Linked DNA regions of Canis lupus familiaris. The protein of the gene in region 1 purifies or fractionates together with the protein of each later gene. This does not show direct contact. Links are inferred from orthologs where the notes say so. Each region holds a gene or a part of one and is shown on either strand. Other genes may lie near its edges.

What was found.
Region 2: the proteins of MAP3K1 (region 1) and DCAF7 purify together in Homo sapiens (affinity purification with mass spectrometry; 3 studies listed by BioGRID and IntAct, with this or other methods). This does not show direct contact. The link is inferred for Canis lupus familiaris from reciprocal best matches to the Homo sapiens genes MAP3K1 and DCAF7.

The regions. Positions count from the first base shown.
Region 1 is NC_049223.1:43,166,040-43,169,860, forward strand, and holds part of MAP3K1 (mitogen-activated protein kinase kinase kinase 1), read left to right. Parts: exon of another isoform or gene 1-277; intron 278-981; coding exon 982-1,073; intron 1,074-1,107; exon of another isoform or gene 1,108-1,222; intron 1,223-1,736; coding exon 1,737-1,926; intron 1,927-2,250; coding exon 2,251-3,529; intron 3,530-3,821. UniProt on the Homo sapiens protein: Component of a protein kinase signal transduction cascade. Activates the ERK and JNK kinase pathways by phosphorylation of MAP2K1 and MAP2K4. May phosphorylate the MAPK8/JNK1 kinase.
Region 2 is NC_049230.1:15,336,373-15,340,023, forward strand, and holds part of DCAF7 (DDB1- and CUL4-associated factor 7), read right to left. Parts: intron 2,148-3,651; coding exon 1,975-2,147; 3' UTR 1-1,974. UniProt on the Homo sapiens protein: Involved in craniofacial development. Acts upstream of the EDN1 pathway and is required for formation of the upper jaw equivalent, the palatoquadrate. The activity required for EDN1 pathway function differs between the first and second arches.

The DNA.
Region 1 (3,821 bases):
TAATGAGGACAGCTCCCGCCAAAGGTTGTCATTTAATGAGGACAGCTCCTGCTAAAGGTTGTCAGTTGTCGGGCATTCTCACCACTTTACATCCTGCCCATCTGACAGGAGAGGAAGCACTGAATCGCCATTGTTGTGCCCCTGCCATTACATTCATTTGGAACTTGCTCAGTCACACGATGTACATTGTAGGTGTGTAGCCAGTCTCAAAACCTAGGTGCTTAGATTTGACTTCTCATTTCATGAAGTTTGTCTCCACTGTTTTCTCTACTCAAGCCTATGGATGGATTGAAAGTATTAGAAATTATCTTATTTAGAGAGAATACTATAATACCTGAACAACATTAAGCAAATTATCAAATAATTTGTAAGATGCATAGAAAAATTATAGTTTTTCAGTATTAGAGTACATATTTTTCTGAGAACATCACTGCTTTTGTGACATTTGTTGTATTGTGGGCTTTCTGGAATGCTAAAATTAGGTTGTTTACCTGGTCACTTCAATGACGGAACATTATAAAAAACAGAGAAAGAGATTTTAAAGTATTTGGAACTCACTCTGGCTATTTAAGAGAATATAAAGTTTTGGATGGGAAGGTTTTGTTTTTAATGTAAGAGACTCTTACTGAAAATTCAGAAATTAAAATGAGCCTTTTTTATTTTAAATGAATTAATCAAAATATGCCTTTCATCTGGTTTATTTTGATATCAGTATTTGTTCTCTAAGAGCCACTGCTAAAGATTCTGTGTTTATCACAGATAAAATTTATTTAAAATTTTATAAAATTATATAAAATTTAGACCCTAAATAATGAATACAATTATTTGTAGGGACATTGTTAATGTAATTTGAGTGGTGGAAAAACAAATACCTGTGGAAACTTTTTTTCCCACTTTTACACATAGCATCACATTAGTATTGTCCTTTTAATGTGTATTTTATCCAAGATCCAAATCTGACGTTGCTTCTTTCATTTTTAGTCGTACAAGTCAGCTGTCTATATCAACACTGTTGGAATTATGCAAAGGCCAAGCAGGAGAGTTGGCAGTTGGCAGAGAAATACTTAAAGCTGGTAATAACTTTTTACTTAATATAGCAGGTCTTACCATTTTCCTTAGCTGACTATCGAATCCTTTAATCTCTGATAGGGCAATCCTTTAATCTCTGATAGGGCAGTTGTATACAGGACTTTGGAGTAATTGTGTAAATGGATTTAGTCACCTAACAATAGAAATATGAATTAACCAAAGAAATTCTTTTTTAAAAGATTCATTTAATCTGGGGGGGGGGGGGCACGTGCGCACATGTGTGTACATGCATATAGAGGGAAGGGCAGCAGGAGAGGGAGCAGACTCCCCACTGAGTGCAGAGCCAAACACAGGGCTTGATCCCAGGACCCTGAGACCATGACCTGAGCCGAAATCAAGAGTAGGATGCTTAACTGACTGAACCACCCAGGCGCTCCTAAGGAAATCTTAAAATAAATGTAATTAGAATATTATTCTTGGCATTATGCTCTTTTGATGTTTTGTTTTAGATTTTATTTATTTATTCATGAGAGACGCAGAGAGAGAAGCAGGCTCCATGCAGGGAGCCCGATGCAGGACTTGATCCTGGGACTCCAGGATCATACCCTGGGCCGAAGGCAGGTGCTCAACTGCTGAGCCACCCAGGCGTCCCTGTTTTAGATCTTAATATCACGGTTTTTCAGTTATTTTTACTTTCCTTTTCATAGGATCCATTGGTATTGGTGGCGTGGATTACGTCTTAAGTTGTATTCTTGGAAACCAAACTGAGTCAAACAACTGGCAAGAACTTCTGGGCCGCCTTTGTCTTGTAGACAGACTGCTGTTGGAATTTCCTGCTGAATTTTACCCTCATATTGTCAGTACTGATGTTTCACAAGCTGAGCCTGTTGAAGTCAGGTAATTTTTCTTCTGCAAATAGATTACTTTGTTCTTCCTTCCTGCCCCATCCCTACCCCCTAAGAAAGACACATTAGATTTATGAAAGACTCAAACTACAGAGCATATGTAAGTTACTAATACCTTAATCTTCAATTGACATAAAAACCTCAAGTCTAGGCTAATTACAAATTTATAGATCCTCCACAAAAAATTATCAATCCTTTGTTCTGAAATGACATTTTTAAATGTATACGCTTTAAAGTAGTACCTTCTTTGTATGTGCGTACATTTTGCAGTAATTTTGACTTGTCTAGTAATTGAATGTGTCTTTTTTTCTTTCAGGTATAAAAAGCTGCTGTCCCTCTTAACCTTTGCTTTGCAGTCCATTGATAATTCCCACTCAATGGTTGGTAAACTCTCCCGAAGGATATATTTGAGTTCTGCAAGAATGGTTACTGCAGTACCCCACGTATTTTCAAAACTATTAGAAATGCTGAATGTTTCCAGTTCCACTCATTTTACCAGGATGCGTCGTCGTTTGATGGCTATTGCAGATGAGGTGGAAATCGCTGAGGCCATCCATCTGGGCATAGGAGACACTTTGGATGATCGACATGACAGCTTTTTGCAGGCATCCGTCCCCACCAGCTATCCAGAAGCCACAGAGAACAGCCCCCTTGAGCGTACAGACCATTTAGAGAAAACTGGAAAAGGACTGTGTGCTACAAAACTGAGTGCCAATTCAGAGGACATTACTGACAGACTGGGCAGCATTTCCGTAGGACTTCCCAGTTCAACAATGGAGCAACCAAAGCCAATGGTTCAAACAAAAGGCAGACCGCACAGTCAGTGTTTGAACTCCTCTCCTTTATCTCATCATTCCCCGTTAATGTTTCCACCCTTGTCAACTCCTCCTTCATCTGCCCCATCTGCACCACCTGGCACTGGAACAGATGTCTCTAAGCATAGACCTCAGGGATTCACTCCCTGCAAAATACCTTCTGCATCTCCTCAAACACAGCGCAAGTTTTCTCTACAGTTCCAGAGAAACTGTTCCGAAAACAGAGACTCAGATAAACTTTCCCCCATTTTTACTCAATCAAGACCCCTGCCCTCTAGTAACATACACAGGCCAAAGCCATCTCGACCTACCCCAGGTAATACAAGTAAACAGGGAGATGCCTCAAAGAATAGCATGACACTTGATCTGAACAGTACTTCCAAATGTGATGACAGCTTTGGCAGCAGCAGCAATAGTAGTAATGCTCTTATACCCAGTGATGAGACAGTGTTCACCCCAGTAGAAGAGAAATGCAGGTTAGATGTCAACACAGAACTCAACTCCAGTATTGAGGACCTTCTTGAAGCATCCATGCCTTCAAGTGACACGACAGTAACTTTTAAGTCAGAAGTTGCTGTCCTCTCTCCTGAAAAGGATGAAAATGATGATACCTACAAAGATGATGTGAATCATAATCAGAAATGCAAAGAAAAGATGGAAGCTGAAGAAGAAGAAGCTTTAGCAATTGCCATGGCAATGTCAGCGTCTCAGGATGCCCTCCCCATAGTTCCTCAACTACAGGTTGAAAATGGAGAAGATATCATCATTATTCAACAGGATGTAAGTATAGTCTTGAAGAGATTAGAGAATTTCCTTGGAGCAAGCTAAAAGAAATCTAATTCAGAAATGATGCTTTTCACATGAGTTAATCATTAGAAGCAGTTTTTCACATGGAATTATACGACAGTTTTGTATCGTTGCTTTACCACAAACACTACTTGCCTATTTCAAAGGCATTTCTGATTGATTCTGTAATGGTGATCACTTCTGCTTTTGACACTGGTCACCAGCACTGTCCCTTCAGAACTTTATAGGTGGTTTGGGAAGCCAGACTGAACAAGAATAATACTTT
Region 2 (3,651 bases), on another chromosome or scaffold:
CAGCCCCTCCTACCACTCTGACCTCCATTTCAGACTGCTTTCCAGGGGAAGAACCTAATGGCCTCCTAGAGCGACCAACCATCAATTTAGACTTGCCACCCTTAAGAGAAGGACCCTCAAACCACCAATACAATTACAAGCAGAGGAGGGTTCTAACCAAGAACTGCTCACTTTACACTGCTGAACGACACAGTGCAACTGTGGTAGTAAATGCAGGAAAGTCAACCTCAAGTGGATGACCAGCTAAAGAGCCTCAAAATCAGAATAAGAAAGTGAAAAAGTAGAAGGGAGAATACACTAAGAAGAGAGCCTTTTTCTTTGGACAGGTGCCTGTGTAGTAAAGCAAAGAACTGTAACTTTGCAGATAAAAATACATCTGCTCTGGAAAAGGAGACTCAGCCAAGAGTTTAAGGGCCCAGGAGAACAAAATTGTTATGTTTCTCAAGAGCAGATGAGAACCCAAGTGGACAAAACCACCAGCCTCAAGGTCTGCTATTCTCCTACCTAACAGCTGCACAGTCCAGAGGGGCTCAAAACCCTATGGCAGAATGCGACAGACCAAAGTCCCCCAAGACTCTAAGCATGTCCCAAACCCTGCCAGCCCAAAGACTCATCTACCACTGGAATCACACACAAGCCCCCTGTGTGAAACTCATTCATGTAACGGAAACAGACACTGCAGCCTGCAAGTCCAATACTGCTCAGAGCCTAATAATGGGGGCCGGGGGGAGGTGGTTGACAGGTGTGCAATGATTGGCTGGCCCTATAGCTATCTATATACTTGATGGCCTGGGATTATCGCAGCCCATCAGGCCACTCCTTCCAGGAGCTGACAGTCCCCCACACTCTCAAGGAGATCTTGTTCAGAATCAGACAAACAGACTACAAGTCTCTCAAGCAGGACTCTCTCACTCAAAGAGCGGTCAACCATCAGTCATAGTAAACTAACCAAACAGAGATACTAAGGTTCAGCGTACAGATTGTGCTTGCCTATCATTCAAGACATGAAAGTAAATGGCCTGGGGATTACACCCAGAGGGAAAAACAGACTCGGAAATGATGTACTGGAAATACACTCTGAGCTCAGCTTTTCTGAAGCTATTCCCTCCAAGTCAGGCACGCTGTCTCTCTCAACTCTAACACATGCCCTGTAGGTCCTGGTGGGGTCGAACAAAGGTGCTTCAGGAAGGAACCGGAGGCTTCACGTGTCTGTTTTGGAGCCCAGAATGCCCTTGAGAAGAGCCAGGCTGAGAAAAAGTGAGAAGACTGGCCCACTTCAGAGCACCAAGGCGGTCTGGGACTCCTGGTCAGGTATGTTGCACTCAGGCAGTGATTCAAGAAGGCAAACTGCTCATGGGGTCGAGAGCCCAGTGCTAGATCCAGGCACTGAGGGCAGAGAGGAAGTGCTAATGGGGTGGAATAGGAGACAAACAAAGAAACCAGGAAGAGTAAAATTCTTTTCATAAAAAAATTAGCCTGATAGGTAAAAAATATACAAAGTTGAAATTTGTTAAAGACATTGATAATAGGAAGAAAGACAACTCCAGATTGGTATTTGTTCCCACTTAAGTACTGACATGACATGGACACAAGATTGCTGCCTTGGGCAGCAGACAGGTAAGAGACATCTGGGGCAGATGAATACAAACATAGCCGGTGCCTGCAATGCTTATTAACACAACAGCTGACAAACAAATATACATAAAATTTTAATGGAGGAACCAAAGGAGAAGAGAAAAGGAGAGAAAATCTTAAAACTCAGCCCTGGGCTGAGGAGGTGCCACACAGCACTGAGCCTGGCACAGACAGTGATGGGATGACTGACCAGGAACTCCTAGAGCAGCTTCTGGTAACAGTGGTGCAAAGCAATGAGAGACATACTGGCCACCAGAAACACGTTTCTTCTTACTTTGGGGATGGGGCAGAGGCAGGAAACACACAAGCCCCCGCCTCGTGGGCAAGGCGCTGCCAACGCTACACTCTGAGTATCTCCAGGCAGTTGTTATAGCAGATGGCAATCCAGTCGGGCTGAGTCGATGCCCATTGCACGTTGTTGATCTCTCCTTCAGCTGTATAGGCCAGGATAGGGTCCTCGATGGCCCGGGGCATTTGCTGGATGTCCCAAATGAGAGCCTGGTGATCATCCGCTAATGACAGAGAAAGCCAACAGCAAGGTCACAACTCAGACAAGGAGGGGAATTCAGGGTGGGTGGGGGGATTGTAGCTTATAAAACATTTGTTCCCAAGATCCCGCTGAGGGAGGTTTTATTTCAAGTCCCCATTTTATAGATGAAGAAACTGAGACTCAGAAATGTTAAGGCACTTTCCCCAAGCCACAGGGCTATCTATGCATGCAGCCAGTGAATGGCAGAGCCAGGACATAGAGCAAGGCCTCTGAGGTGTCCCAAAGCTCCAGTCACTGCCACAGAGCTAGGCCCACGGAGGGACCTAGATGGGTGCCTCTCACCTGGGGCAGGTATCAGGAAAGGACGATGGGATAAAAGTGATCCCCAAACATGTCATTTGCAGCCACTCAAACTACTTGAGCAATTAAAGATCCCTGTCTGATGATTCAACCTAATGGGATTTTACCCCATTTTATGGAGTTTTATACTTCAGTGAGGTGTTACACAGATGATATGAAGTGCGAGTGGACATGTGCTATTAAAAACAATTTTCCTCAGAAAAGCTACCTTCTTTGCCTGGGAAATACTGGAAAGAAGGTAATTGCCTTAAAAAAAATACATAAACACACGAAAAAGGACTAGAAGAAAATACACCAAAATGAGCACAGTGGTACCATGAGAATGGCAAAGTTATATTTACTTTCTTCTAGTTAGTAAGTTCTGTAAGGTTGTCATTTACTTATATAATCAGAACAATAAGTTCTTAATTTAAGGGAAGAAGAATAAAAAGGCAGTGACCTTCAATACCACATTATGCCCTGATCTCATCAGCCCATCCTGATGTGAAAACCCGTCTCTGATACACAGGAGAGCTGAGGAGCATAAGAGGCCAGGCTCATGTGGGTAACACTAGCCTCCTGCCACGGCCATGTAACCCGGGCGAGGTACACGATGCCCTTCTGAGGGACCACTTCTGTCAGGAGCTATGTGGAGCTGTTTGAAACGTTCAGTGCCTCTAGAGCACTGAAGTCCTTCTCAGTAACACACTCAACCAAGCCCACTCCTCAGCCACGGCTCCTTCATCTGCAGGGACTCAACCCAGGCAAAGGCAGCCACCAGGAGCAGAAGATGGGCTTCTGGTGAGGGCACTGGTACTGTTCTCCATGGACAGGGGTTAATACCATCCTTTCTTCCTCCTCCCACCTTCCCCTACCCATACCCCTGGTGGGAAAAGAGGCAATAATGAAGGGGTCGGACCACAACCTGAAGTGCAGAGGAAGGCAGAAGGCCCTAAGTGACATACAGGAGTGAGCAGAGGGTCCAAAACACAAAAGTTTCATGCCTTTCAAATTAATATGAAATAGCAGAAAACCAACAAACTACTCTGCTCTTTTGGCTCCATCATGAACAAGGAAATGAGGATGCTACTGATTAGCGAGGAGGGGAAAAAGTATGTTAGAAAGAAACCTGAGGCAGTGAAAATGAAAACATGAGGAGAATATTCTGGGGTGAGAGCGGAATCCCG